Linked DNA regions of Elephas maximus indicus. The protein of the gene in region 3 interacts with the protein of the main gene of each other region in a pairwise test. Links are inferred from orthologs where the notes say so. Each region holds a gene or a part of one and is shown on either strand. Other genes may lie near its edges. The genes, in order: RAB33A, PLEKHF2, RABAC1 and SNX10.

Evidence for each region.
Region 1: the proteins of RABAC1 (region 3) and RAB33A interact in binary tests that used the Homo sapiens proteins (3 or more experiments, as listed by UniProt). The two-hybrid records come from large-scale screens. The link is inferred for Elephas maximus indicus from reciprocal best matches to the Homo sapiens genes RABAC1 and RAB33A.
Region 2: the proteins of RABAC1 (region 3) and PLEKHF2 interact in binary tests that used the Homo sapiens proteins (3 or more experiments, as listed by UniProt). The two-hybrid records come from large-scale screens. The link is inferred for Elephas maximus indicus from reciprocal best matches to the Homo sapiens genes RABAC1 and PLEKHF2.
Region 4: the proteins of RABAC1 (region 3) and SNX10 interact in binary tests that used the Homo sapiens proteins (3 or more experiments, as listed by UniProt). The two-hybrid records come from large-scale screens. The link is inferred for Elephas maximus indicus from reciprocal best matches to the Homo sapiens genes RABAC1 and SNX10.

Annotation. Positions count from the first base shown.
Region 1 is NC_064846.1:26,288,310-26,296,323, forward strand, and holds the start of RAB33A (ras-related protein Rab-33A), read right to left. Parts: upstream 3,011-8,014; 5' UTR 2,908-3,010; coding exon 2,650-2,907; intron 1-2,649.
Region 2 is NC_064833.1:46,884,738-46,892,337, forward strand, and holds the start of PLEKHF2 (pleckstrin homology domain-containing family F member 2), read right to left. Parts: upstream 3,001-7,600; 5' UTR 2,799-3,000; intron 1-2,798. UniProt on the Homo sapiens protein: May play a role in early endosome fusion upstream of RAB5, hence regulating receptor trafficking and fluid-phase transport. Enhances cellular sensitivity to TNF-induced apoptosis.
Region 3 is NC_064829.1:108,961,038-108,969,013, reverse strand, and holds RABAC1 (prenylated Rab acceptor protein 1), read right to left. Parts: upstream 3,006-7,976; 5' UTR 2,880-3,005; coding exon 2,824-2,879; intron 2,529-2,823; coding exon 2,316-2,528; intron 1,982-2,315; coding exon 1,884-1,981; intron 525-1,883; coding exon 423-524; intron 343-422; coding exon 254-342; 3' UTR 92-253; downstream 1-91. UniProt on the Homo sapiens protein: General Rab protein regulator required for vesicle formation from the Golgi complex. May control vesicle docking and fusion by mediating the action of Rab GTPases to the SNARE complexes.
Region 4 is NC_064826.1:87,445,122-87,453,051, reverse strand, and holds the start of SNX10 (sorting nexin-10), read right to left. Parts: upstream 3,003-7,930; 5' UTR 2,634-3,002; intron 1-2,633. UniProt on the Homo sapiens protein: Probable phosphoinositide-binding protein involved in protein sorting and membrane trafficking in endosomes. Plays a role in cilium biogenesis through regulation of the transport and the localization of proteins to the cilium.

The DNA.
Region 1 (8,014 bases), on a different chromosome or scaffold from region 3:
TTATTACTATTGCCTGTTTGTTGGAGGCTTTTCTCAATATTCATGTTAACCAGAAAACATGGATCATAAATGCTGTGATGGGGTGGGGGGGCGCATGGACTGGAGACACCAAATGGGCTTCAACCTCCTAGGGATGGCTCTGGTAATTAGGAGTAGCCCCAAATATACTAACTCAGTCATGCCCCAGCAGGAGTTGCCCCGTGTGCTACCCCAGGACACAAGGAGTCAGCCCAAAAGAGGCCCCACCCTAGTCTTGGACTGTAGCAAAGAGCTTGCTGAGACCTCTTTACCACTCTCCTGTGAGGGCTGGTATTTTAGAGCTTAGAGCCTTCTATTGCTAACTGTGGTCTAGGGCTACCTGGGCCTGTCACACTGGATTTTTCTCTCTCTCCCCCAAAGGGGAAAGCCCTTGGCAGTCACCTCCTAGAGTGGTTTTGGCCCTTGTTCCTTAAGGAACTCCAGACCGGCAGAAGTGTGGGGCAAAATCTTCTCCTATCTAGATCACATGCTAGCTGTCCAGCTGCCATGCTCTGCCATCTTCCCACGGACATGCTGGCCTCTCGCCTGCCAGCGTTGGCTGTGAGATTGGAGCAGCTTTACAAGAGGCAGGGACACCATCTCCCTGCTCCCATACCCCACCTTAAGTGCTTCAGAATCTGTGGTCGGAGGACTCCTCCACAGGCATGGTCACAAGACTTTGCCCTCTTAAAAGATATCACCTTCCCCCAAAAAGCCTGTATTAAGCACTTATCTGCACGTGCTAGTGTGCTGAGCTGCTTCCAGTGAGTCACACTGTCATAGGCTTTGCCCTCTGGGAGAAGATCCAGAATGTTTGGCAGAGACTGTAAAATCCAGTTTAGCTAAGTACTGGGGTGTTAGAAGGGAAGGAATGGTTTAAAAATGTCCCCAAGGCCATTGGATAATGACCCTCTTGCACTTGATTTTCACCTCCCCATTCCCCACTTCCTAGCTTCCTTCTCTTCTCCGTCCTCCCTCAGACTCTCAAACACTTCCTTTCTCCTCCACCTAAATTTCAGGCGGCCTTATTCTCATTTCCCCGTTTTAAATTCAGGGAACACTTTGGCTCAATGTGACACTTGATTTTCAACAAGTGATAGTATTACATTTTAAGGATTTTAGATCCCATGCACAGATATATTTCTACTTGGATAAAAAAGGCATGCTTTAGAAATTCCAGAATCTTGCAGCCTTACATTAAAGAAACTAGACACACTAGAGAAAGCCCTAACCAAGGAAACGTCAGTGTACGAGCCCTAGGAAAAGACCAAGACAGATACCTACAATGACTTTAAAGGGAAATGCTCCAATTCCCAAAAGGCCAGGGTCAAAAAGATCACAATTTGAGAACAATGCCCTAGCTTCCTGACCCTGGGGCTCAATTGTTTTGGAGAGCTCTCTGTTAACAAACAGAACCGAGCAGCCCATCTTCCTGGCACCTACCTTGGCCTGGTTTCTGAAGCCATTTAAAAAACATTCATCTTAAGTCAAGGAGTCAGGAGTCTTGCTCAGTTTAGAGTGTTTCATCATTCTCCCCAGTTCCTCAGCCCTTCTCTGCACATCTCTCAGATGACCAGCCTCAGAGACACTCTGGCTGTTGGACTGGCAAGAGGGAGGTTTACCTTCACCCTGACTCCGTGGAGGGTCCAACCAGAGGCTCTAGAAAAGGCCAGCTGTGACTCTAGCGAAATTGGTCTTCAGTGTCCCCAGTGCCTTTTGAGGTGCCTCCCTCCCCCTTCCTCCTCTGCTCCCTCCCCCCACACACCTGAAGTTGCCCTTGCCACGTCCTCCCTCCCATCACACCCTGCACACTGAAATGTTCTGTCCTGTAGACTTAAAGATGAGAACAAATAGACAAGAATATTCGTACTTGGCGTATGTAATAAACTCATGGGGAAGGGGGAGACCAAGGCACTTCCCTTGGCCCTCAGGTAACTTGCTCTGTATTTTTACAAAGGCCTTCTGAAGATAATACCCTGACCTGACAGAGCAAGATACCCCAGACAAGTAAAAGAGTTATCATTTGGGAAGGATGGTTCCAAAAGAACAAGTTTTGTCTATTATGAAGGGCTGGCGGGGGACCCTGTCTGAATTTCTTTCAAAGGACTCATGGCTGTGGGCCAGAACCACCCCCGCTCTCAACTCAGCCCTAATCTCAACTATAAACTGTAATTTAAAACAAAGCAGTTCTCATTCTTGAGGCTTAGCTCAAGTGGTTTTTGCAGCCTATTGGCACCCAAGAGGTAGACTAGACCTCAAGATGCGTAAAGTGCTTTGGGATCGATCCCACAGACCTGGACCAAAAGCTGCCTCATGCCTCCCTCTGCCCACAAGTGCTGCTGCTCTTGGCGCAGGGTCAAGGATGGGATCAACCTTGCTATTCCAGACAAGAACTGTCGGCCAGGGGCAACGAGCTGAAAAAGGAAACCATTCCCTCCTGCCCTAAAAACAGGGGTGAGGTAAGAACGGGGTCACTGAGAGAGGCAAAAGAGGATGAGGAGGTGCCCAGGGTCTTGGGCTCAGCGGGCGGCGACACAACCAAGAGCTGGACGTCTCCAGCCACTAGAGCGATGCCTCAGGCGAGGTCCCCTCCCAGCTCCCTCCCTTCCCGGACCTGACCGTCTGGATCACCTTGATCTTCTCGCCCTCTATTTCCACTGTCTTCTCCCTGAAGTCCACGCCGATTGTGGCTTCAGTCTTGTCCGGGAAGGTGCCCCCGCAGAAGCGGAAGGTCAGGCAGGTCTTGCCCACGTTGGAGTCCCCAATCACGATGATTTTGAAGATGCGAATCTGCACGTACTGGTCCAGCGACGAGTCGAGCTCCAGGGCGGCCAGGCCAGCGGCCGAGGCGGGTCGCAGGCTCCCGTGGCCCAGGATGGGCTGCGCCATCTCCCCCGGACCGGCCCGGAGCCCGACCCCCCTCGAGGGCTCCACACAAAGACAACGGCCACGTTCGTGCGCTCGAGGCGAGCGAGCTGTGTGCGTGTGTGTGTCCGCCTGTGTGTGCGTGCGCCGGGAGCGTGTGCGCGCGCGCGGGAAGGGGGTGCTCTCGCCCCGGCCCCCCTCCTCCAGCGCACCCTCCTGAGAGCTCTAAGGCCCCAACACAAAAACCAGGAGAGGAGGAGCGATGGATGGAGGAGAGTGGGCAAGCCGTGAGCCTCCTCCTGCCACCTGTGCCCTCGGACGGGACACCAGGGCGTGCTACCCGATGGCGCTCCCAGAGCCGCAGCCGCCGCCGCGCCTAGGCCTAGACCCTCCCCCTGCCTGGACCCCTGGGACACCCCGGAGGGAAGAAGCTGGAGGAGGAAAAGAAGGGGGTGGGGAACGCTGCACACACCACCCCGGGGCGGCCTTCCTTTCTGCGCGCCCCGACTAATGTCTTCTGTCCCGGGCCCCCACCCCCACTTTCTCCGAGTGCCAGGGGTCAGCGGGCAGGTGGCAGAGCTGGGGAGGACAAAAAGCGCTGTGCCTAAGGCATCTCCGGGGCTCTTCGGCATCGGAGCAACGCAGCTCGTGGTGGGGGGTGTGCGGTGTGGGGGGTATACCTCTTTCACCTCGCGGCGGCGGGCAGCTGAGCCGCGCCTCCACGGACCCCCTCCCAAGCCTTGAGCTAAACGGGATGCTCTGTCTTATTGAGTGAGCAGGTGCACCCGCGGGCCTCAAGGAGCGGGAGAGGGCTCTGCCAAGATACGCAGAAGGGTGTGGGGAGTCCGTGCAGCTGAGAGGAGGGAGCGGGGGCGCGGGTGGGTACGCGTGTGTGTCTAGGGCCAGATGTAGGGGGGCGCGTGCCAGGCGCCAACCTCCCCTCATCACACCACGAGCACCCATCCTCTGAATGTTCAGGAGAGCGGCTCCCATTGGCTGCAGCAGTCGGTTGTGTTTAGCTGGCCAATGGGGAAGGCTTGCCGCGGGAGAGGGCCATGAGCGGGTAGGAGAAGGGGGGAAGCGAGTGGTGGCAGCTCCAGCAAAAGGGGACTTTGTTTCTGGGGCTAACCATTACGGGCCCAGGTGGAGGGATCTTGGGACATGGCATAAGCCCCACAGTGCCTTGCATTGCCGGGTCCTCCATATAACCATAATTCCTTCCAGAACGGTGAACGTTCAAAGTGAGTTGGAAACCCCTAGGTGGGTTCACCCCCCTGCGACTGAATGTAAAACAAAATGGTTGGTTCTAATTTGCCAGAAGCCTAGATTATGCTTGGAAGGTAATAAATGAACACAACTTTATTACGGTACTGGGGGCAGCTTCCCAAAGCTTACTAATAATCACACATCTTGGTCAAGGTCAATGCTCCCTCTCCCGAAAGTGATTTGCAGGTTCAGAGTTTGTCTGAAATCAACCTTACTGAGTTACAATTGAAATTCAATAAAGTGCACCTATTTTATGTTTGTTTTTAAGACCTTCCGCCTCCCCACCCATTTCATAGGCTAAGGCAATATCAACATATGCCAATAGCTCCGACACAGGAGTTACTGCTAATACCACCAAAGTCGTGGATTCAAGGAGCACTGCAAGCTGCCATCTTATTTGTGTGTGAGGCTGAGATTCAGGAAGAGACAAACGTGTGACTAGTCCATTCCCAACGAGAGAAAACCAATTCAGTGCATCAGTGGCAGATCTGTAAATGGACTGGAATACTGAATACTCAACCGAGTTCACTACTCAAAATGGTTGGGAAAACAGGGTCTATATAGCTAAGTTAGCAAGCGTTATTTATAGCTAACCCCCTTATCACATAAATGTGTCACCCATGTCTGAAACCCTAGATTATACTATTCAAGCATCAGGGGAGGATTTAATCATAATTGGCTAATCCAAGGTCATCATATGGATACCAACTGCCATTGTACAGTGTGAATAGCCATCAACTTTACACAACATTTTGGTTTTTTGATTGTCTGATGTCTAGATAATAGTTTGCCGGATCATTCACCACTGTATTTGAAGGAAATACTCATTATCTACCCAAGAACAGCTGTATGAAAAGTGGGAGGGGGTAATTATTAGGCATATCCTGTAGGTAGAGGGAGGTCACTGGGTGGTACAAATAGTTTGTGCTCAACTGCTAACTTAAAGGTGCTAACCTATAAAGGTGCTTACGTGAAGGTTGGCAGTTCAAACCCACCCAGCAGCACAGCAGAAGAAAGGCCTGGTGACCTGCTTGTTAAGATTGGAGCCTAGAAAACCCTATGGGCAGTTCTGCTCTGTAACACATGGGGTCGCCAAGAGTCGGACGGCAATGGGTTTGGATTTGTTTCTTTGGTAGGTAGAGTGGAAAGAGGCTTTGCCAGCTCATAGCCAGAATTAATGCTAACTTCCTGAGAGATATATAAAAAGAATTTACACCTACATAATAAGATTATTTATCTGGCAAAAACTTGTCACTGAGTCTGAGGATTCACACTGTATTTGGGTAGAAACTTTGATTCCTGGAAATGCAGTGTTTCAAGATGGGCACCTTGCCATATTAAAAAGTGTATTTTACCTCTGTGGGGTGAGATTTTTAGGTGGCTTTCACTTATATTTTTTGAAATTAGTTCAATGTGTGTATATTTTGCAAAAAAACACACACAATTTTTAATTAAAAGGATAAGAAAACTACCTCATCGCACCATGGCAAAAAAAAAAATGAAATGTGCTATACTGTGCCTTTTCTGTTTTGATTATGCATCGTTAAATGATTGTCTTTTGAATACACACAGTTGTTTTCATAGGTACTTGATTATCATAGTGTTTTCCAAAGCCTCTTTCACCAACAGATATGTTTAACTTTGTATTTAATCAAACCATGTTTATTACTAGTTTTTAGAAACATCAATAATCATCAATGTCTGTAAGGTCTTTAAAATATTAAATTAATATGAGTAATTTTTACCTCATTGTGGAATTGATATTTTCAATATTACCACCTCCCTCCAAAGCAGCAGTAGGTAAAATATAACTCATTTCTGAACATTAATCTATTCTGCTTAATAGTTAAGGGAACCTTAGATAATTTCCACTCAAGGCTGCTTTGCACTATGGAGACAGGAAAAGGAGGGACTTTAAAGCCAGGCAGCCAGGGGTAGCTTGGGCCAACTATTCAGCCTCTTCAACAAGTCTGAAAGGGGACGTGAGAATGAAAAGCAATGATGTCTGTAAAGCACCTGGCCCAGGGCCCAGCATTCAGTAGATGCCCAGTAAATGACTCCTTCCCACCCTAAACCCAACGACAGAGGCATGGCCTAGTAGGGGACACGCAGGGGCGGCAGCTGGCAGTGAAGGCCCTGCATACACTGCTGATCTGGCCAGATGTGAGCCTTGTGAGGACGCTGGGGTGTGGCGCCATCCTGGGCTCCACAGATGTTATTTTATTACCCAGGGGCTTCTCTGCGTGGGCTTGTGGAAATTTTAATAAAAGGAAATTAAGTGCCAGCTCCAGAAAAATAAATAAAGACTGCTTCCTGGGTTAAGCTGCCTAAACAATGCCTCCATAATTTCATTCCCTATCCACATTCCATGCACACACACACACAAGATTAAGCTACTTCATCACTCACAAGATTATGGCCAAACTCTTTTTGACAGTTCAAATCTGGCCCCATCATACTTACCAGTCCTCACCGCTTCTTCCTAGTCTGAATTCTCTGCCCCAGACATATTGGTTTCTCTTTGTCCCCTGGAAATGTGCTGAGTTTTGTTTGTATACCTCTAAGCCTTTTAATTTAACACACGGTGGTGCTTCCTATAAAACGCTTCACAAACATTAACCCATTTAATCTTCATAACAACCCTATGAGATTGGTAGACACAATTAAATGACTTGCCCAAGGTCACATAGCTTAGGAAGTGGCAGAGCCAGGATTCAGCTTAAGGTGGTCTGGATCCAAAGTCGACGTGCTTAGCCACTAAAAAGGTTACCTTTGGTCACAATAGATTCACCACTTGAAATATCATTCCTCTTGCTCCACTGTCTATTTGAATTTTACTACTCATCCTTGAAGGCACAGCTCATGTAACACTTCTTGCATGAAGTCCTTCCTTAGTCATTCCAGCCCATACTCTTCTCTTGCTCTGGCACTACACCAAAAAAAAAAAAAAAAAGTTTTCGTGGAGTCAATTCCGACACATAGTGACCCTGTAAGACAGAGTAGAACTGCCCCACAGAGTTTCCAAGGAGCACTTGGTGGATTCCAACCGCCGACCCTTTGGTTAGCAGCCATAGCACTTAACCACTACACCACCAGATACAATTTATAATTTGAATAAGCAGTATATGTCATCTCCCCAACAAGACAGTGACCACTTCCTATACTTTTTCTATCTCCCAAAGCCCCTTTCACAGTACAGTCCAAGTAGCAAGTGCTCAGTAAATACGTGCTGAATGAATATGTCACCCGAATCTTTGAAAAAAGCATATGCTATTTTTTTTTATGCTCTGCATGGAGCCCCTGGGTGGTGCAAAGGGTTAATGCGTTCATCTGCTAACTGAAAGTTTGGCTGTTCGAGTCCACCCAGAGATGTCTCGGAAGAAAGGCCTGGCAATCCACTTCCACTGAAAACCGTAAGGAGCACATTCTACTCTGGTAGACATACTCAGGTTGCCATGAGTTGGAACTGACTCCACAGCAACTGGTTTTACGTTCTGCATACAGCAAAAAATTATTTCTAATTTAGCTTACATGTGACATGTTCAAAACAGCGCCTCACCCTACTCCTCCCAAAATTGTGAAGCTCTGCTTAGGATTTCTCTCACAGAAAGTCTGTGAAGCACGAACTCGTTTTGCCAGCATCCTGCTCTCAAACACGGAAGCCATAATAGCAGGAGACGAACCGCAGCACCTGGTACAGCATCCAGGATACAGAATTGCACAATATAAATGGGATATCGGGAAAAGGAGAGCGCTGAGGGACCACTTGTCCCGGAAACAGGGGTTGGATGCGGAAAGTGGCAGCAATTTGCAAAAGATGGAAGTCTACTCCGGATCTGGGAAGCCAGGTTCCCCGCCTTGGACC
Region 2 (7,600 bases), on a different chromosome or scaffold from region 3:
ATAAGAAGACTTGTTGTTAGCTCCTATCTAGTCAGCCCCCATGTACAATGGGATCAGCCCATTGCAATCCTTGGGGTTTCATTGGCTGATTTTCAGAAGTAGATAACCAGTCCTTTCTTCCTAGTCTGTTTTCACCTGGAAGCTCTGCTATAACCTGTTCAGCATCATAGCAACACTCAAGCCTCCACTGACAGACAAGTGGTGGATGCTCCTGAGGTGCACTGGTCAGGAATTGAACCTAGGCCTCCCGCATGGAAGGTGAGAAATCTACCACTGAATCACAACTGCCCCCTACCCAGTCAACACCCAGCACCAATTCCAGACATACGAGTGAGCCATTTTAGACATCCAGTTCATATGAGTCTTTAGGTGATTGCAGCTCCAGTTGCAACTGACTGGAACCGTCTGAAAGGCCCCTCAGCAAGAGCTGCCCAGTTGAGCCCAGTCAATCCACAGACCCATAAGAGATAACAGAAAATTGTTACTTTAATAAGTTTTGGGGTGGTATGACACACAGAAGTTGATAACCAGAACATCTGATGACTCTCCAAGGCAGTGGACATTGTGCAGTGATTCGGTGGTCCCAACTACTTTGCAGCTCCACCATCTCAATATTTGGCATCCACTATCATGTTGAAGAAGAAGGGAAAGCCAAAAGTTCACCCAGAGCTTTATACTCTCAGGCCAGACCAAACCAGTGTCGTTTTTGCTCACAGCCTATTGGTCAGCACTAATCACACGAACTGCCTAATTGCAAGATGAGCTAGAAAGCGTAGTCTCCTGAGCACACAGGAAGGAGAAAAATATAAAATATTGATAATGTCTACCATATCCGTGTGTCACTTTCAGTTTTTAATTATAAAATATTTCAAACACAACGAAAAGTACAATGATCAAATAATAGGTTCCTATCAGTGGGCACCCCGGTAGCGCAGTGGTTAAGTGCTACGGCTGCTAACCAAAAGGACAGCAGTTCAAATCCGCCAGGTGCTCCTCGGAAACTCTATGGAGCAGTTCTACTCTGTCCTGTAGGGTCGCTATGAGTCGGAATTGACTTGACAGCACTGGGTTTGGTTTTTTTTTTGGATCTACTCAGTATCCAGACGTCTAGCTATTCTAACCACACATAAAAAAAAAAGCTTCATTTGTAAAAAAGACTAAAAAACCAAAACCAAACCAGTTGATTCCGACTCATGGCAACCCCACGTATGCAGAGTAGAAGTGCACTCCATAGGGTTTTCAATGACTGATCTTTTGGAAGCTGATCATCAGGTCTTTCCTCCGAGGCATCTCTGGGTATATTCCTAATCACCAACCTCTCTGTTAGCAGCCAAGTGCTTAACTGTTTGCATCACCCAAGGACTTCATAAAAAGATTGTTGGGTATTTAATGACCCTAAGGAGTTTTCTGTGGATATTAGGTGATATTTGCTGATTAAAATCACCTTTCAAAAGACGTCAGGTTCAGACTTCTTAACAGAGCCCTTCCCAGTCACTCCTCAACTCGCCTTTCTGGATAGCTTATAGCTTTTCCTCCCAAAACACTCATGAGAGAATGTTGGTTATTTTTGCGTCCTTTCATCTACTTATACTTCTTTTGGTAAGAGTATCCCGAATTTCCCTTGCAATCATTTTTACCTCACTCTCAACAAAGCATTTGGGGAGTATCTTAGGCTGGGTTCTCTATAGAAGCAAAACCAGTGAAGTGTGTAGATAAATATATATGCACATATATATGGTGAGAGAGAGAGAGATTTATCTCAAGGAAATGGCTCACTTGGTTATAGAGGTTGCGAAGTTCCAAGACTGTGGGTCAGGTGTCAGTCTGGAGGCTTCTCCTGACTCACGTAGCTGCCGGGGCTGACAAACCCAAGATCGGCAGGCAATATGGCAGGCCATTGGCTCAAGTCCCAAGAGCCAGAGGTCAGATGATGATGAGCCAGATGCAGGATCTGGAGTGAGGAAAAGCTAGCTAGTGTTGGATGCAGGTCACACACCCAAGCAAACTCCCCTTACAACTGATTGGCTGATCACATCAGATCATATCACAGAAGTGATTACATTAAATCGCAAAATGAAGGATAACTATATCATTACATAACTGCCAAACCACTGAGAATTGTGGCTAGCCAAGTTGACATAACCTTAACCATCACAGGGGATTGATCCACCCTCAGTTCCAAGGATGAGCGGAATTATGGCATCAGGGCATCCCATAGTCCCAAATACAGTCATTGGTTCCGTCAGAATGAAGCCCAGGAATTTTATTTGGCAATTCAGGGAAGAGATGGTCTCTTTCCTACTGATATAAACAAAAAATCATGTAACCCCAGGACCTGTTGGCATCCATTTTGGGACCATAAGGAAGTCTGCCCTAAGATGCCCGCTCACACAGGGGAAGCCAGAACAGAAAGACAGAATGAAATGAGACCCTTGACATCATCAAATCTTATCTAGAGCCTGAACTACCTCTGGACTTTTTAAGTAAGTGAGATGATAAATTCTCTTTATTATTTAAGCTTTTTTTTTTTTTTTAAGCTAGTTGGGTTCTGTTGATTTCAACCAAAAGACTGCTAATTAAAAATACTGACACTACGATTTAATCACATAGAGTCACTTTCAGTTCTCTAAAATACATGTACTTTCACTTCAAAATATGGTTAAAATAAGCTCAGAATACATTGAGCATTGTCACCAGAAAATGCATGATCAGGGCCCCAACTAGGGCTATTGTCGTGGCTGAAGAATAAAATCACCATCTGCAGCATCTAGGACACATTTTTGCAACTGAGAACATACCAAATTTCCTGCTGTTTAGGAGTGCCATTCCTTAAGCGTTGACTTGTAGACATCTGTGATTTCAGCACATCTTCGGGAAAAATAACTGTGCGCGGCTCTCACACTTGAGGTCTAAGCTTCTCTCAAAACTATTTGCTGAGCAATCAGGTTGGGCTCAGCTGAGAAGAGATCTTGACCCACTGTAAGTCCCTCAGATGAGGCCTGACAGTTCACGTATGTGAAGCATGTGGGCAGAGAAGCCCCTATTGAGTCAAAGCTATGCTTCTACTTCCTGATGTGGTCATCTGAATGGGGAAGTGTGTGTTCCTCTGAGTGTGTCAGCTCCAACCAGTGTTGTCTGAGAAAACTGGAGAGAGTTTCAAGGTAATGGACAGACAGGAACTGAGGAAACATTTTTCAGTCAGAGGAACACGGCTCTTCCTTCCCTTTTGTGTGATAACACTGTCATCTTCTTACCACGTTTGAACAGCTAGAGAAGCCATCAAGAAAACAATGATATAACAACTTTTAAAAATTGCCAAGACCTTCCAGAAATAGTGTGGTGAATGAAAACACGTGACTTTAGTCTTCTCAGTCATACAAATCCATCTTTTCTTGGGTTACTACAGTTTGTTCTACCTCCCTTGCCCTTTCCCTAAGGAGACCCTTCAGCTCTCTGAGTGCTGACAAATACTGATGCGTTCCAGACGATCTTTTTAGACCTCAGTAGCAATGACGGATGTAGCAAATCCACTCAACACAAAAAGAATTTTTGAAGACTTCACAATTTGACAAGATGGGCACCCAGTTCAATCTGCCCTTAAAATGCAAGGCTATCTTGATGTGCATTTCTGCTTATTGCAAAGCTCGGAAGAGCACTTACGTTATTTGTAATCACTGATCTAAGTCAAAGCGCTAGTGTCAAGGTCAGCTTTGTAAGTCTCCACAAACTTTTAAGAGAAAACTGTAACTGTCCTTTTTGCTATTTTGATCTCATAGAAGTAAAATGTAAGAAAGGGAAAGAACATAATTATCACCTGCACACACTGAGCGAAAGGATGAGATTATAGAACAGTGGTAGAAAATATATACAAAATCGGCAAGATGACTCATAAGTACAGTAACTGAAATAGCTCAGCTTTTGTATATGGTGGGACAGATCTGCCAACAACTAACAAATGTAATAGCATAATGATAACTTGGGACTAGGTTTATTTAAAAGGTCCTATCAAGCACGCCTACGTATATATATATAAAAACGTATATAGCGCCAGAAAATGCCACTGACTTTCAGCAAACATGGCTATCAGCCCATGGGGAGAAAGGTAAGAAAGTCACCCACTGGCAAATTCCACAGCAACAACTGCTCTAGCTTTAATGTGGCCCCCTCACGTTCTGCCTACGTGCTCAAGGAGTCACTGGGGTGTTCACCAGTTAAGCTGCAGGGGCCACACCTCTGGCCAAGGCTGAGGCAAGCTTCCCTTATTTCCCTTTCTTCTCTTCTGCACACCTCAGGCTGCTTCCAGCCTTCTCAGTTTAAAGCCAATACCCCCATTCACTTCTCTCCTCCAAGGCTGGAGATGCAGGTTTGCTTGTTTTACTCATTCACTATTGTTGTTGCTTTTGAGTCTCATGGTGACTCCACGTGTGCACAGCAGAACTGCTTCATAGGGTTTTCAAGGCTGTGACCTCTCGAAAGCATCTTGCCAGGCCTGTCTTCCAGGGCACCTCTGGGTGGGTTTGAACCACTAACCTTAAGGCTTAACCTTTTGTGCCATCCAGGGACTCCACCCATTCACAACGCCTCTCTAAACACAAATACATTATAACCTTTCCAAGCTAAGTCTCACTGCGTATCACCTCAAGGAAACAGGCAGGGAAACCCTCTGGACTCAATAAGTCTTATTTGCTAAGTTCTCACCTTCTATGTCCTGGCCTATAATCTGTGATTCCCCAGAAGTCTCTGGGACTCTGCATGCTCTGTAAGCTCTGTGCTTAACTTGTATTTCTGAGCATGGAACTCACCCTTCCCTCCCGCTCTCCCTCAGAGTGGATGAATTCCTAGATGAGGGCCTCCCTCTTAGCCCTTAGGCCTGCGCTTCCAATCAGGGCTGAAGGATGGGGTCAGCTAGTATCCCTCTGGTGCCATTGTTCTGAAATAAAAAAATGTACCTTTCTGAGGGCCCTTAGACTGGAGGACCCTTCTTGCTAAGTGTTCCCTACTCCACAGAGAGATGATTCTCTCCAGGCTTTTCCTCACACACCGCACACAGAGCAAAGAGTCAGGCCACCTGATTTAGGAGATAATATTGGAACCATTATTCTCTGTCTTGGAATGTGACCCACCTGGAGCTGGATTCACAAGGACACATCAACTGGGCTCTGAGGTATAAAGACAATAGCTAGGACAATTTTGGAAAACATCTTTTAGGGAATCTTTCACATAAACAAATCATAAAACACAGCACTAGTGACCCTCATGCTTCCAACTTTTATCGTTTTTTACTAGCCTTTAATGAATAGTAAGATTTGTTGGACCAGTGAAGACCCTCCTGACTGTCTTTACTGAACCTGTACCAATGATTGTTAAGAATGACAATTCAAAATGTAGAATCAGAGATTTAGCAGTTTCTAGCCAATCTGTGAAAAGGTGAAGCTTTCAATGGTTTTGCCCATTAGCATGCTTGTCCATTTTCCCATTCTTGCCATTCTGTAACCCTTGGACTTGGGCAGACACGGCTCTGGCAGCATACTTAGCCATTTTCCCACTTTTGTCTATTCCGTAATATTCCTTGGACTCAGACAGATATATCTGTGGCAGCATGCTTGTCCGTTTTCCCATTCTTGCCTATTCTGTAATATTCTTTGGATTTGGGCAGACATTAGCTCTGGAAGCATGCTTGTCCATTTCAACTTTTGCCTATTTGAACAAACGCCGAATAAAGCTTTCGTTTTGCTTTACTAAACTTTGTGATGTTTTCACCCTACAACATGCCCAGTTTCCAGTCCTTACTCAGCCACTTGCTTGCTACCTGGGTGACCTGGCCGCACATCTCTGAACCTGCTTAGGCTTCATTTTCATCACCCATACGGTTGTGGAGAGGTTTCGAAGAGATAGTCCACTTAGCACAATTCCTGGTACACAACTAGAATTAACGCCAAGAATCTTGTCAATGTTGGGTTGTGACAATCCAGGACCTAATGAGTTAATGCTGGGCACAGCAGGGGGCCTCCTGGACTTTGCTCCCTCACTGCAGCTGGTTATACAGTGTGCTAGATGCAAAATCACACAGAGAGATGTGTACTAATGGGCCATCAAACAAGGGAGGGTGAGATGGGAATCAGGAGTAGAAGCAAGGAGGGGTGGGAGGGAGCAGGATGGAAGGGTGTCTTTTGTCTGCAACCTGGTGGGGCAAACAGGATCTTACTGGTGTATGGCACCTGAGAAAGGTAGGGAAAATTACTGCAGTAGTTTCCTGTGGCCACCATAACCAAATATCACAAAGCAGATGGCTTAAAAACAACAGAAATTTGTGTTGGAGGCCAGAAGTTAGAAATCAAGATGTCAGCAGGGCTCCACTCCCTCTGAAGGCCCTAGGGGAGAAATTTTCCTTGCCCCTTCCAGCTTCTGGTGGCTCCTGGCATTCCTTGGCCTGTGACAGAATAACTTCAGGCTGCGCCTCAGGCTTCACGTGGCCTTCTGCCCTCTGTGGCTCTCTGGGTCTCAAATCTCCCTCTGCTGTTTTCTTATATGGACACCTGCCATTGGATTAGGGCCCACCCTAAATCTAGGATAATCTCATATTGAGATCCTTAACTACATCTGCAAAGACCCTTTTCCAAATAAGGTGACATTCACAGGTACCAAAGGTTAAGACTTGGACATGTCTTTTTGGGAGCCACTATTCAATCCATTTTGGTGGCACAGTGGTTAAGTGATACAACTGAACAAATGGTTGGCAGTTCAAATTCATCAGATGCTCCTTGGAAATCCTAAGGGCAGTTCGACTCTGTCCTCTAGGATCGCAATGGATTGGAATCAACTCCAGGGCACACAGCAACAATGAAGTAGGTAGCGAGTCCCCAGGTGGCACAAATGGTTAAGTGCTTGACTACTAGCCATAAAGGTTGGCAGTTTGAACCCACTCAGAAGAAAGTCCTGGCAACCTGCTTCCAAAGGTCACAGCCTTCAAAACACTATGGAATGCACCTCTACTCTGACACACGCTGGGTAGCTGTGAGCTGGAATTGACCAGACGGCAACCGGTTTGGTTTTGGTTTTGGTTTTGGAGGTAGGAAGAGAGAGATGAAGTGTGGGGGGGGGGGGGGGGAATCAGAGAACAAGGGGAGACAAGAGCAAGAACAGGCGAGCCACAAAGAGGTATCAGAGGGCGTTCCAGGCAATTCTGAGCAACTCTGAGCAAGATGAGAGACAGGAAGGTCTTGCCAGAAGCACAGACATGTTTAAAAAGCTTTCCAAACTTCAGAGAGAACTTGAAACTCTATTCACGTCTTCACTGATTTACACATCCTTTAAATATGTGGGTAATTATTATGAACTATTCCATGCACTCTCTTCAATTAACATTAATAAAACACTCCCAGGAACCAACATAGTCCACGTTCTTGGATTTTGAAAATATTTTTATGACATTTCTTCCTGTTGCCGTTGAGTCATTTACTTATTCTTGAATTGGTTCCAGGATCTTTTCTTCTGAGTAATGTTTTAGTAAAGTGTCGTGGAAACGTGCACCAGCACCAGGCACACTGCGCCTGTGGCCTGCTCATCATGGGCACCAGAATTTTGGTGGGCACCAAGATAG
Region 3 (7,976 bases):
CTCCCCCACACCCTGAGCCCTGTCTGTCTTGGATCCTCAGTATGCCCAGCGTTACTCTGTACAGACCCACAGAAGACACTGGGACAATGTCTGCAGGACAACAACTGTAACAGCTTTATTTCCAAAGCTGGGAGGCCTCCCTGGGCTTGTGATGTGGGAGGGAGCTTTGTCCCCAGCAGGAGAGCCTTGCAGGATGGGGGTGAACCGGGGCAGAGCGGCAGGCCTGGGAGGCCCGCAGGTTCTTGAGGCCACTTCACACAGGCTCCATCTGCAGCTCTTCCCCATCCACTGCCTCGATCTGGTGGAAGGCGGCATGGGAGCCGATGACCACGAGGGTGGCTCCTGCAGGAAACGGGCAGCTCAGGGCCACGCTTCCTCACCTGGCCTGCACTGCCCACCCGCCACCCAGACCCTGTACTCACCCAGAACCCAGAAGACAGCCGAGCCTGCACCAGCCAGCCAGAAGAAAGGGAAGGAGACGCCTCCAGCCAGAGCGTACTGATGGGCTGGGCTCACCTCTCGGCCTGGGGGACAGACGCATTGGGCAGCTTTTCCAACACTCCATGCCCTCTCTCAGAGTACCCCCCCCACCACGCAACTGGTATCACAAGCTCCACGACCCTCAAGATCAAATCTAAACTCAAACCAAGCCCCTCTGAGCCCTGGCCCCAACTTCTTTCTCCCAGGTCCCCACTGTCTTCCAGAACACAGCACTCTCCTCAGGCCCCTGCCCTTCAACCCCGCTTCTGCTGCTCCAGACTAGGCCTCTGCTACTCCAGCCTGCATTCATGTAGACCAGGGGTCTCCAAGTGGTGGCCCACAGACCAAGTCTGACCAGCAGATGTGTGTTGTTTTTTTTTTTGAGTTTGCACAGTGTTTCACAAGAATTTGATTTGTGGCTGGCAAGTGAACTGAATGGTTTCCCAGAAAAACAGACTTCTGGCTTCTCATGGAAGACTGGAAGGTTGGGTCACACTGGCCTGCATTCTCTGGTGACACCAGTCAGCTGAAGCCAAGTTGTAGCTCTGTCTTAGATGCACCCTGGGTTGCCCAGCATGTCCCTCCCCCAGTCCACTTTTGTCAGGTATGTGACTTGTAGGCTTCTGAAAGAATTTCAATTGGAGCCCCATGAACAACTTTGTCTTAGAGCTTTCTGATTGTCTGATCCCAACTCCCCTCTGGCTCCACTCCAAACTTTGAGCTTCCCCTGGGTGGGGACCCAGGCCCCCCTTGTCATCCCAAAGGTGCATGGTACCAGGCTGGGACCACACGAGGTATTCTACAAAAGCCACAGGCCTCAGTTTCCCTCTCTCAGAAATCCTAACTTCCAGCTTCCACCGCAGGAAGGAGGAAAGCGAAGGGCGCAAGATCTAGGCCATGTACGGCTGCCACCTTGTGGCCAATGTGGGTACCTGCAGTTGATGCTTTCCAGCAGACAGGCTAGAGGAGGGTGTAGGGAGGGGAGATTTCAGGGACAGGAGAAGCCAGGTGGAGAATGAGTTCTGGGGTATCTCATTTTGCAGTTTAGGGGGCTGAGATGGGTGGGAGCATCTGGGATGTCCGGGATCTTAAGCCATCAGGCTTGAGGGACATAGTATAGTGGAAACCCTGGTGGCGTAGAGTTCCACTGCTAACCAAAATGTCAGCAGTCGGAATCCACCAGGCCCTCCTTGGAAACCCTATGGGGAGGTTCTGCTCAGTCCTGTAGGGTCGCTCTGAGTTGGAAAAGACCAGAACAGGTTTTTTTTTTTTTTTTTTTAAGTATAGATCTAGGCCCCGGGCGGACTTAGGTTCAGAAAGGCTTGGATTTGGGGGTCTGATGCTCAAGTTCCAAGAGACAGGACTAGAGGGCCGGGGCTCCGTCTAGGCAGGGGGCTTCTCACCAAAGAGCACGAGCTTGGACTGCAACGTGCGCTGATAGAGGATGTAACAGGCACCAAAGAAGACGGCCAGAGCTACCAACAGCATGGGGGATGTCACCCTGGAGAGAAGTGCGGGGAGACAGGGGTCAGGCAGCTGGGCTTGTCCAGCCAGGGGCCCTGATCCTTCTACACTGGGAGATGGCAGAATGGTTCCTTGACGGTACGCAAAGACGGGTCACCTCTGGTCACACTGTCCTGGCCAAGCCGATAAGGAAGTAGGGGTCTGGGCCTCTGGGAATAAGGTCTGGCCGGGCTGCCCCACAGAGGTGGGGCGTGGCCAGTGGGGGGCGGGAGGCGGCCAGAGAAGAGCGGGATCGACCAAGCAGGGCCACCTGGAGGGGCGATGCCGGGCCCGCGAGGCAAGGGCGGCGTCCCGTCCCCGGAGGCACTCACACGCAGTACAGGATGAGGCCCAGGAACACGAACACGTAGTTGCTCTGGTAGTGCTCCACATTGCGAACGAGGCGCTGGCACAGCTCGCCCAGGTTGCGGGGCCGCGAGAAGCGCCGCTGATCTACGAAGGGGCCCCAGGGCCGGATGGTCGCGCGGCGCCGCTCCAGCCACTCACGGCCCGCGCCGGATGGAATCAGCTTCGGCAGCAGGGTCCTGGCGGGCAGGGCTGGGTCAGCGGTGTACGGGGATGGCCGGGAGCCCCGAAGGAGGAGGCTGAGAGGGCGGGACTCCCGGGTTCTGGGCGGGGGGGCTCGGGAGGGGGCCCAAATCCCGGACCCCAAAGGAGGCCCAAACTCCAGAGTCCTAGAAAAGAAGGGGACCCGGGGTCTAGGCTCCCGTGTCTGAGAGAAGGAGGGCTGGGACCTGGACTCCTGGGACCCGAGGGAGGGGGAAGTTGGGGACCCTCACTCCTGAGTCCTGGGTTAGGGGGCTAAACCGGATCGCTCACGTGGCGCTCAGCCCTTCTCCCTGAGCATCCTTCTGCTGGTCCTTCTCCGCCGCCATGTCTGCGCGGTTAGGGGTAGAACCGCTGTAACGAGCTCCGGGCCCGGTAGACGCTGTCCGCCCGTCCCGAGCCCGGCCTCACCCAGCGGAGCGGACGTGGCGAGGCTCCGGAGCCGCGGGGGGCAGGAGTTCTGTCGCTAAGCATCGTGGGAGTTGTAGTCCTGATCGTGTCTGGTGCGATGGACGCCATGATGGCAGGGTCACTCGCAAAGCACCTTGGGAAATGTAGTCCAAATACGGCGACGGCGGGTGTCCTTCGAGCGTTCCGGAAGTTCTATGTTCAGAAGCTAGGCGTGTGGGAGTCAGGGTCGGGAAACAGGCTACTGGAAGTGGGCGTTATAGGAGCTCTAATGGTAGAAGCAGGTGTCCTGTACTCCCCCGCGGACAGTGCAATGACACTGTATAACGCGGTCATTCTCAGACTCTAAACCCACCCCCCCCCCCAAAATCAAACCCGTTGCTGCGAGTGATTCCAACTCAAAGTGACTCTATATGACAGGGTAGAACTGCCCAATCAGGCTACCAAGGAGCTACTGGTCGAACTGCCCACCTTTTGGTTGGCAGCCGAGCTCTAAAACACTATGCCGCCAGGGCGGGGTTGATTCCAACTCACAGCGAACCTCTACGGCAGAGTATAACTGCCCCTAGGGTTTCCAAGGGGCGGCTGGTGGATTCGAACTGCTGATCTTTTGGTTAGCAGCCAACCTCTTAACCACTTCTCCAAGTTGTTGTTAGGTGCCGTCCAGTCCGTTTCGACTCATAGCGACCCCTATGTACAACAGAACCGAACACTGCCTGGTCCTGCGCCATTTTCACAATCCTTCTTATGGTTGAGCCCATTTTTGCAGCCACTGTGTCAATCCATCTCATTGAGGGTCCTCCTCTTTTTCGATGACCCTGTACTTACCCAAACATGATGTCCTTCTCCGGGAACTGATCCCTCCTGATAACATGTCCAAAGTATGTGAGACGCAGTCTCGGCATCCTTGCTTCCAAGGAGCATTCTGGTTGTGCCTCTTCCAAGACAGATTTTTTTTTTTTTAGCAGTCCATTATATACTCAGTATTCTCCGCCAACATCACAATTCAAAGGTGTCAATTCTTCAGTCTTCCTTATTCATTGTCCAGCTTTTGAATGCATATAAGGTAGTTGAAACACCATGGCTTGGGTCAGGCGCACCTTAGTCTTCAAGGTGACATCTCTGCTTTTCAACACTTTAAAGAGGTCTTTTGGGGCAGATTTGCCCAATGCAATGCATTTTTTTTGATTGTTCAACAACTGCTGCTTCTATGGGTGTTGATCGTGGATCCAAATAAAATAAAATCCTTGACAACTTCAATCTTTTCTCCATTTATCATGATGTTGCTTATTGGTCCAACAGTGAGGATTTTTGTTTCCTTTATGTTAAAGTGTAATCCATAATGAAGGCTGTGGTCTTTGATCTTCATCAATAAGTGCTTCAAGTCCTCTTCACTTTCAGCAAGTAAGGTTGTGTCGTCTGCTTAGTGCAGGTTGTTAATGAGTCTTCCTCCAATATTGATGCCCCTTTCTTCTTCTTGTAGTCCAGCTTCTTGAATTATTTGCTCAGCATACAGATTGAATAGTATGGTGAAAGGATACAACCCTGACACACACATTTCCTTACCTTAAACCAGGCAGTATTCCCCTGTTCTGGTTTGAACTGCCTCTTGATCTATGTCCAGGTTCCTCATGAGCACAATTAAGTGTTCTGGAATTCCCATTCTTCTCAATGTTATCCGTAATTTGTTATGGTCCACAGAGTTGAATACCTTTGCGTAGTCAATAAAACACAGGTAAACATCTTTCTGGTATTCTCTGCCTTCAGCCAGGATCCGTCTGACATTAGTAATCCCTTGTTCTACATCCTCTTCTGAATCCCACTTGAATTTCTGGCTTTCTTGTCCATATCCTGCGGCAGCCACTTTTTTTTTTATTTTTATTTTTTATTGTGCTTTAAGTGAAAGTTTACAAATCAAGTCAGTCTCTCACAGATAAAGTTATATACACCGTACTACATACTCCCATTGAGTCAGCCCACTCCCTCCTTCCAGTCTCTCCTTTCATGACCGTTTTGCCAGTTTCTAACCCCCTCTACCCTCCTATCTCCCCTCCAGACAGGAGATGCCAACATAGTCTCAAGTGTCCCCCTGATACAAGTAGCTCACTCCTCATCAGCATCTCTCTCCAACCCATTGTCGAGACCATTCCATGTCTGATGAGCTGTCTTTGGGAATGGTTACTGTCCTGGGCCAACAGAAGGTTTGGGGACCATGACTGCCGGGATTCCTCTAGTCTCAGTCAGACCATCAAGTCTGGTCTTTTTATGAGAATTTGGGGTCTGCATCCCACTGACCTCCTGCTCTCTCAGGGGTTCTCTGTTGTGCTCCCTGTCAGGGCAGTCATCGGTTGTGGCCGGGCACCATCTAGTTCTTCTGGTCTCAGGATGATGTAAGTCTCTAGTTCATGTGGCCCTTTCTGTCTCTTGGGGTCGTAATGATCTTGTGACCTTGGTGTTCTTCATTCTCCTTTGATCCAGGTGGGTTGAGACCAATTGATGCATCTTAGATGGCCGCTTGTTAGTATTTAAGACCCCAGACACCACAGTTCAAAGTGGGATGCAGAATGTTTTCTTAATAGAATTTATTTTGCCAATTGACTTACATGTCTCCTGAAGCCATAGTCCCCAAACCCCCACCCTTGCTCTGCTGACCTTCAAAGCATTCAGTTTATCCCGGAAACTTCTTTGCTTTTGGTCCAGTCCAGTTGAGCTGACCTTCCCTGTATTGAGTGTTGTCCTTCCCTTTACCTAAAGTAGTTCTTATCTACTATCTAATCAGTAAATAACCCTCTCCCACCCTCCCTCCCTCCCCCATCTCCTAACCACAAAAGAATGTGTTCTTCTCAGTTTAAACTATTTCTCAAGATCTTATACAATATTTGTCCTTTTGCATCTGACTAATTTCACTCAGCATAATGCCTTCCAGGTTCCTCCATGTTATGAAATGTTTCGCAGATTCATCACTGTTCTTTATCGATGCGTAGTATTTCATTGAGTCAGAATCGACTCGATGGCAGTGGGTTTGGCTAGTATTCCATTGTGTGAATATACCATAATTTATTTATCCATTCATCCGTTGATGGACACCTTGGTTGCTTCCAGCTTTTTGCTATTGTAAACAGTGCTGCAGTAAACATGGGTGTGCATATATCTGTTCGTGTAAAGGCTCTTATTTCTCTAGGGTATATTCCGAGGAGTGGGATTTCTGGGTTGTGTGGTAGTTCTATTTCTAACTTTTTAAGAAAACGCCAGATAGATTTCCAAAGTGGTTGTACCATTTTACATTCCCACCAGCAGTGTATAAGAGTTCCCATCTCTCCGCAGCCTCTCCAACATTTATTATTTTGTGTTTTTTGGATTAATGCCAGCCTTATTGGAGTGAGATGGAATCTCATCATAGTTTTAATTTGCATTTCTCTAATGGCTAATGATCGAGAGCATTTTCTCATGTATCTGTTAGCTGCCTGAATATCTTCTTTAGTGAAGTGCGTGTTCATATCCTTTGCCCACTTTTTGATTGGGTTGTTTGTCTTTTTTTTTTTTTTTTATTAACTTTTATTGAGCTTCAAGTGAACATTTACAAATCAAGTCAGACTGTCACATATAAGTTTATATACATCTTACTCCGTACTCCCACTTGCTCTCCCCCAATGAGTCAGCCCCTCCAGTCTCTCCTTTCGTGACAATTTTGCCAGCTTCCAACTCTCTCTATCCTCCCCTCCCCGCTGCAGACAGGAGATGCCAACAGAGTCTCAAGTGTCCACCTGATATAATTAGCTCACTCTTCATCAGCATCTCTCTCCTACCCACTGTCCAGTCCCTTTCATGCCTGATGAGTTGTGTTTGGGAATGGTTACTGTCCTGGGCCAACAGAAGGTTTGGGGACCATGACTGCCAGGATTCCTCTAGTCTCAGTCAGACCATTAAGTATGGTCTTTTTGTAAGAATTTGGGGTCTGCATCCCACTGATCTCCTGCTCCCTCAGGGGTTCTCTGTTGTGCTCCCTGTCAGGGCAGTCATCGATTGTGGCCGGGCACCAACTAGTTCTTCTGGTCTCAGGATGATGTAGGTCTCTGGTTCATGTGGCCCTTTCTGTCTCTTGGGCTCTTAGTTATCATGTGACCTTGGTGTTCTTCACTCTCCTTTGATCTAGGTGGGTTGAGACCAATTGATGCATCTTAGATGGCCGCTTGTTAGCATTTAAGACCCCAGACACCACATTTCAAAGTGGGATGCAGAATGTTTTCATAATAGAATTATTTTGCCAATTGACTTAGAAGTCCCCTCAAACCATGGTCCCCAAACCCCTGCCCTTGCTCCACTGACCTTCAAAGCATTCAGTTTATCCCGGAAACTTCTTTGCTTTGGGTCCAGTCCAGTTGAGCTGACCTTCCCTGTATTGAGTATTGTCCTTCCCTTCACCTGAAGCAGTTCTTATCTACTAATTAATCAGTAAAAAACCCTCTCCCACCCTCCCTCCCTCCCTCCCCGCCTCATAACCACAAAAGTATGTGTTCTTCTCAGTTTATACTATTTCTCAAGATCTTAGAATAGTGGTCTTATACAATATTTGTCCTTTTGCCTCTGACTAATTTCGCTCAGCATAATGCCTTCCAGGTTCCTCCATGTTATGAAATGTTTCACAGATTCATCACTGTTCTTTATCGATGCATAGTATTCCATTGTGTGAATATACCACAATTTATTTAAACATTCATCCATTGATGGACACCTTGGTTGCTTCCAGCTTTTTGCTGTTGTAAACAGAGCTGCAATAAACATGGGTGTGCATATATCTGTTTGTGTGAAGGCTCTTATTTCTCTAGGGTATATTCCGAGGAGTGGGATTTCTGGGTTGTATGATAGTTCTATTTCTAACTTTTTAAGAAAACGCCAGATAGATTTCCAAAGTGGTTGTACCATTTTACATTCTCACCAGCAGTGTATAAGAGTTCCCATCTCTCCGCAGCCTCTCCAACATTTATTATTTTGTGTTTTTTGGATTAATGCCAGCCTTG
Region 4 (7,930 bases), on a different chromosome or scaffold from region 3:
AGCTCAGGCAAAGCTGAATCATTCAGAGAACTGAAAGCACATCCTTTGCAGACACTGGTGGGGGCAGGGATGTGTGGTTATTTAGGGACAAATAAATGAAAGCACCAATGAGAGCTGTCCTTGATTGAGGTCTTAGCATACTGATTCTGGACCCAGCTTGCCTTATTCAAATCTCCATCCCACCATTTATCTGACCTTGCTATCCATGCCTCAGTTTCTTCATTTGTGAAAAAATTGTACAACAGTACCTATCTCAAGGGTTGTTAATATACATCGGGCACTTGAAACAGGGCCTGGAACACAGAGTCCTAAATAATTATCGGCTTTTACAGAAATCTGGGACACATCTGCCAGGTGGTTAAAACTCTAGGCTGAGGAGTTTAGGGACGTCATAAACATCCTCAGGGCTTAGCTTCCCCAGATGTAAACTGAGGACAATAACAGAACCTGCTTCATAAATGTGCTGTGAAGATTAATGAGATTACCACATTAAAAACTCTTCTCACAATTCTTCACACATAGTAGGAGCTCACTAAATCTCAGCTATTATTATTAAAAATCCTGAGAGGTGAGAATTATCATCACCCTTTTTGTATTTTTCAAGAAAGAATAACTCAGATCTATTAAAGTTAAGTGCCTTGCTACAGAACTTCAGGTAGCAAATGACTGTGTGGAGATTTTGGCTTAGATAGGTCTGAAACAAGAAGTTGTAGCCACTACCTCATACAATCTCTTATTTAAACAAAGCTTAGGAAAAATCGAATCTAATTCATACTCACCAGATTAGTAAGAGAAAGACTATGGGTGGTGATAACAACCCAAAATTTAGAAGATTGTCCATGGCTGTGAACCAGGACCTCGGCCAAAAGCCCTTCTTTACCACTCCTGGAAATGAAAGCCTGCCTGGGCCATGGTCTCAACCAGCTAGTTCTCTACCCTTCACAAGTAGTTGTTAAACCACAGACCTGACAGCAGAAGAGGAAAAAGAAGCCATTTCCCACAAAAGCTTGGCTAGCAAAGTGAACCCTTCAAAACGGCAGAAGAGACCCTCGGGCTGAAAAAAGATATCAAGAGTGCTCCAAAGTCATGCAGACTAGCTGTAGTAGAACACACAAGTTTGTCTTTAATTAATACATTTTTATCTGAAAAAGAATAAAGGTGTTTATTTCTATTTTTAGGAAACCGAGCTGGAGGTTAAATAAGAGGAAGTGCCTACCACACCCCAGAGTGGTGGGGGGGGAATAGCACTCAAGGGGTTGCCAGGAGGAAATGTGTCAGCCTGAGCACATCCTTCTTTCAACACCAATTTCCTCACCACTGAGATGGTAACCCCAAAGTGAGATGAAAGGACTGACAGAGGAAACAGGACAATCAGGGAATACAAGTCAACGCTAATCACGTTATTTCACATCTTCATATATTTACTTCATGCATTTTATTTTTGTATATTTAGGACAGTGCTGCTAGTCAACCTAAAAGTAGGCACATCCTTTTAAGAAAAAAAAAAAGGCCAAGTGTATATAGGCCTTAGAATGAGTCTGCCTCCCTTGATCACTGTACGCAAGGCAGGAACACCTCAGGGGCCCCTCGCCTCACCCCAATTGTCCTATTGAGGACGCTGTCCCAGCTTGGCCACTGGATGAGAGTCCCCTGTCCACACTGTCCTCCACCTCACCCTCTCAGGGACCAGCCAACTCCTAGAGTGGAGGGAGTGTATGCATTCCAAAACCCTCCCCTCTCTCCACCCACCAAGGGTACAGAGAATTCCGGGGTAGGCATCAGAAGACCACCAGGTTGGAGGCCTGTTTCTCCTCCCATCTGGCTGAAAGACCCTAGTCAAGACACGCCCCTCCCCCTGCCTCGGTTTCCCTGTCTGTAAAATGAAAGATTAGAACGATATCCCGTGAAGGCCTCTTTCCTGCTCTAAATGTCTAATTCCATTATTCTTACAGGTAAACGTGTCTTGCAGGGATAGAAGCCCTTCCTTTAAAGCAGGACATGTTGCTCTACGTTTCCAGAGACCATTCCCGTCAATACTCCGTGTCATTTTAGAGTAGCATGATTCATCCAGAACTGAAGAGCAAGGCCGTTGATTTCCCGTGTCACCTACCCTGGCATGGTAGTCAACGTGGATTTTCTCTCGGGCCTTTTCCCTCAATCCCACACACACACACACACACAAAACCCTGCCCACCTCCTCCTAATTTCTAAACTCAAAATTACCGTTTCATGAATTAAAAAAAAAAAAAAAAAAACACCTACCCAAACCCAATCTGGTGTAAGATGCCACAGCACTTTTTCTAGAATTCAGGGTTCCACCTCTACCCCACCCCCTCTCCCTGGGGTGTCTTTTTAGCAAATGAACCCCTGGACCAATACTTTGCATCGCCCTCCCTTGGTCCGACAAACCCACTTCTTTCTCCCCTGCACACCTCAGCTGGAAAGGAATCACCTTCTTGGATCCAATCCCAAGGGACCCAAACCTCTCCGGGGCCCGCAGGGAACCGGCACCTAGATGCGGGTAGAAGGGCCCCGCGCCTCTGAAATGGAAAAAGCGACCGGCTCGCTCCGGCCGCGGTCCCAAGCCCAGGCAGTGCAAAAGAGTCCTCCCCGACAGGTCTCCTCTCACTTACCGGCCGCTTCTCAGTGCGGGGCAGGGCCGGGCAGGGCAGCGCCGGCGGGCAGGCGGCCTGGCGAACCGGCGGCGGAGTTTGCTGACTCAAAGGCGCGGCGGCTGCGGCGACGAGCTCACAGGAGCGCACACGAGCGCAGCGCCGTGCTCCCCGCGCACGTAGCTGTCCGCGCCCGTGCCCGCGCTCAGCGTCCGCCTCCCGCGTGTGACTGCCGCGTCTGGCCGCCAGGGCTCCCGCTTCCACCGCCGGCCGGGACCACACCCTCCAGCCCAGCTGTGGCCTCGGGACGCCCGCTGCGCCCCGCCCTCCTGCCGCGCAGGAGACGAAGCGGACCCCCAGCAGGCGCGGCTGGGGCTATGGGCGGAACTGCCGGCGGGCCCGCCGCGCTCTGGTGCCGCGACTATGCCTCCTTCGACCCGGAAATCGGGTTAGGGAGGAAATACCCCCACTTGCCCGGACGCTGAAGCTGAGGTGTGCAACCAGCATCCCCTGGAATTCTTAATGATGAGTGGAGGGACCTTAATGATGGGTGGAGAAAGAGATAGAGATGGACAGATCTGTGACAAGCAAATATAATAAAATGTTAATAAAAATCTAGGTCGTGGGCATATGGGTGTTTCCTGTACAATTCTTTCAATTTTTCTGAATTTTGAAATTTCTGCATAATAAAACGTTTGGGAGGGGGAAATAAATGAGATCCGCCAAGAGGACTGAATCAGTAAGCCAATTCCCGAATAGAACTTTAGGCTAGGTCTGACACACCCCTTTGCTGGAAAACCTCAACGCATTAAAAAAAAAAAAAAAAAACGCATTATGAGGTCATTTAAGCTTCTGATGGGTGACTACCTAACACTTCATTTCTGAAGCACCAGTTATCCCATTAGACACAGCCTGCTCCAGACGATTGTTGGGGGCCACGGCAGGCCCACCTGGAAATATAACATGACGGATACGCTCCACACCGAAGTTGATTTTGCATAGCAAAACTTCTAAATCTACAATGTCGTATCTTAATATCTGGTTCCTGGATTTGCACCACTGGATCATGAATCACTGACGTTGAATTTCCTATGACTGCAGCCAAGTCATAACACACAAGTAGATGCAAACATGATCACTTCTGAAAATAAAATTTAAGTATATTTTTCAAATTCTCGCCCCTATGCTCCACAAGGAAAAGCATTGGCTGGAAAACGAAATGCTGCACGAGCCTAAGATACTGAGTTGTTGATAGCTGCCATGGAGTCCCGACCCAAATCATGGGGAGTCGGTGCACAAGGGAACCAAATGCTACCTGGTCCTGTGTTACCCCATGGTCAGTTGGAGATTGGACTGCTGTGATCCATAGGGTTTTCACTGACTGATTTTCAGAAGTAGATTCCCAGGTCTTTTTTCCTAGTATATTTTAGTCTGGAAGTGCCACTGAAACCTGTTCAGCATCATAGCAACGCAAAAGCCACCACTTACAGACAGGCGACGGTTATGCATGAGGTGCATTGGCAAAGAATTGAACAGGGTCTCCCACAGGGAAGGTGAGAATTCTACCACTGAACCACCACTGCCCCCTAAGACACTAAGAGAGTCTGCAAAATTAAAATCTTTCTGAACTTGCCAAGAGCAGGACCTTACAACTGTAGACAGAGCAGCAGATAAAGCCTTGGAGATTCTATGGAAAGTCATTTAAATATCTGTTAAAATTATGACCCTAACAGAAAGCCAAAATATGACCTTGAGTATATCCCACCTGAATTTAGAGATCATCTCAAGAATATATTTCAACACTATTCTTTACATATTGAACACTAATGACCGAAGACCAGACGAGTTGTGGAATGACATTAAGGACATCACACGTGAAAAAACCAAAAGGTAATTAAAAAGAACAAAAACACCAAAATGGATGTCAGGAGAGACTCTGAAAGTTGCTCTTGAATGTAAATGTCTTAGTCATCTAGTGCTGCCATAACAGAAATACCACGAGTGGATGGCTTTAACAAAGAGAAATTCGTTTTCTCACAGTCTAGTAGGTTACAAGTCCAAATTCAGGACGTCAGCTCCAGGGGAAGGCTTTCTCTCTCTGTGGGCTCTGGAGGAAGGTCCTTGTCCTCAATCTTCCCATGGTCAAGGAGCTTCTCAGGCACAAAGACACAGCGTCCAAAGGACGCACTCTTCTCCTGGTGCTGCTTTCTTGGTGGTATGAGGTCCCCCACTCTCTGCTTGCTTCCCTTTCCTTTTATCTCTTGAGGGATAAAAGGTGGTGCAGGCCACACCCCAGGGAAACCCCCTTTACCTTGGATTAGGGAGGTGACCTGAGTAAGAGTGGTGTTACAATCCCACCTAATCCTCTCAACATAAAATTACAATCACAAAATGGAGGACAGCCACACATTACTGGCAATCATGGCCTAACCAAGCTGACACATTTCTTAGGGGACACAATTCAATCCATGACATTCCACCCTCTGGCCCCCAAAAAATCACATCCTTGTAATATGCAAAACACATTCACCCCATCATATCATAGCAAAAGTCTTAACTCCAAGTCCAAAATCCAAAAATTCCTCAACCGTGAAATCTAGAATGCAAGTTATCTGCTTCCAATGGTACAATGGCAGAATAGGCACAAGCTAGACATTTCCATGACAAATGGGAGAAACTGAAGGGAAAGAAGGCATAATAGGCACCAAGCAAGTCAGCAGACCACAATACATTAGCCCGCAAAGCTTTGAAAATAATCCTCTGTTCTCCGAGACAATTTATGCAATGACCCTGCCCTCCAGACTCTAGGTATTGGCCACATTCTCCAGATTCTGAGTGGAGAACCCTTGGCCCTGGGACAGCAACTCTGCTCCCTTGGCTTTAGACACACCATTCTCCTAGTCCCTCTGAGTGGCAAGTCCACCCTTAGAAACACCAGAGGCCACGGCTACACCCTCTGAAACCCCTGAGGTCATGGCCCTACCTTTCGAGACTGAGGCAGCTCGGCTTCTTGTGTTGTCTCTTCAGCTTCTGCTTCCTGGTTTCTTGGCCTCTTGGCTCCTCGGGCCTCATGCCCGCATCTGCTCTGCTGGGGCAAATGTTCCAAAGCTCTGTAGCTCTACCGATAAATGCCTGGAGGCATTCCATTCCACCAGAAGGCCTCTTGCACACAGGCACTTAGCTCTCTGGCTCCATGGGTCGGCAAGCCTAGCTTCACTGATAAGTGCCTGGAGGCATCCCTACTCCTCCAAGAAGCCTCCTGCACACAGGCACTCAGCTCTCTCGTTCCTTGGGTCTGCCCCAGTGCCATCTCATGCTGGTCTCCTGGTTCTGCTGCTGCTGATTCTCTGCCACTGCAGGTTCTCTGCTGAACTAGTCCTCTGCCACTGTCGCAACTCTATCCATTCACAGTTGCAAAACTGCTTCCACATTTTAGGTATCTGTTAGAGCAGCACCCCACTCTTTCAGTACCAAATGCTGTCTTAGTCATCTAGTGCTGCCATAATAGAAATACCACGAGTGGATGGCTTTAACAAAGAGAAATTTATTTTCTCACAGTCTAGTAGGTTACAAGTCCAAATCCAGGGCATTGGCTTCAGGGGAAGGCTTTCTGTCTGTGCCAGCTGCAGAAGAAGGTCCTTGTCCTCAATCTTCCCATGGTCAAGGAGCTTCTCAGGCACAAAGACACAGTGTCCAAAGGACATGCTCTGCTCCTGGTACTGCTTTCTTGGTGGTATGAGGTCCCCTACTCTCTGCTTGCTTCCCTTTCCTTTTATCTCTTGAGAGATAAAAGGTGGTGCAGGCCACATCCCAGGGAAACTCCCTTTACCTTGGATCAGGGAGGTGACCTGAGTAAGGGTGGTGTTACAATCCCACCTAATCCTCTCAACATAAAATTACAATCACAAAATGGAGGACAACCACACATTACTAGTAATCATGGCCTAACCAAGTTGACACATATTTTTTAGGGACACAATTCAATCCATGAGAGAAAAGGAGCTAAAGTGAATGGAAGTGGTAATGAAGTAAAAGAGCTGAACAGAAGATTTCAAAGGTAGCTCAAGAAGACAAAGTATTAGAATGAAATGTGCAAAGACCTGGAGTTAGAAAACCAAAAAGGGAGAATATGCTCATCATTTCCCAAGCTGAAAGAACTGAAGAAAAAATTCAAGCCTTGAGTTACAATATTGAAGGATTCTATGGACAAAATATTGAACGATGCAGGAAGCATTAAAAGATGGAAGGAAAACACAGAGTCACTGCACAAAAAAGAATTGGTCAATGTTCAACTGTTTCAGGAGGTAAAATATGATCAAGAGCTAATGATACTGAAGGAAGAAATCCAAGCTGCACTGAAGGTATTGGCGGAAAAAAAAAAAAAAAAGGCTCCAGGAATTGACAGAATACCAATTGAGATGTTTCAATAAATAGATGCAACACTGGAAGCTATCACTCGTCCATGCCAAGAAATTTGGAAGACAGGTACCTGGCCAACCTACTGGAAGAGATCCATGTTTGTGCCCATTCCAAAGAAAGGTGATCCAACAGGATGCAGAAATTATTGAACAATATCATTAATATCACGCTGTCTTAAACCCAGTGCCGTCGAGTCAATTCCGACTCATAGCAACCCTACAGGACAGAGTAGAACTGCCCCATAAAGTTTCCAAGGAGGGCCTGGAGGATTCAAATTGCCGACCCTTTGGTTGGCAGCTGTAGCACTTAACCAGTATGCCACCACAGACACACTCTGTCTTAGGCTGGGTTATTTAGAGAAGCAAAACCAGTGAAGCGTATATACAGAGAGAGACAGACATTTATCTAGAGGAAATAACTCACGAAGTTGTAGACACTGGCAAGTCCCAAGTCCATAGGTCAGGAGTAAGGCTGGAAGCTTCTGACACATGTAACTGCAGAGGCTGATGAACCCAAGAGCAGCTGGTAAGACAGAAGTTTACTAGCTCACAGCCTGCGGAGGATGATGAATCCCAAGATCTGTAATCAATACGGCAGGCCACTGACTCAAGTCCCAAGAACCGGAGGTCAGATAATGGTGAGCCAGATGCAGGATCCAGAGTAAGCAAGCAAGCTTTGCCAGAACGTCCATATATATATTGGACGCAGGACACACCCCCGAGGAGACTTCCCTTACAACTGATTGGCTGATCACATCAAATCACACCGTGCAAGATGACTACCTCATTACATAACCGCCAAATTACATCATTGTGTAACTGCCAAACTACATCATTATATAACTGCCAAACCACTGAGAATCATGGTCCAGTCAAGTTGACACACAACCTTAACCATCA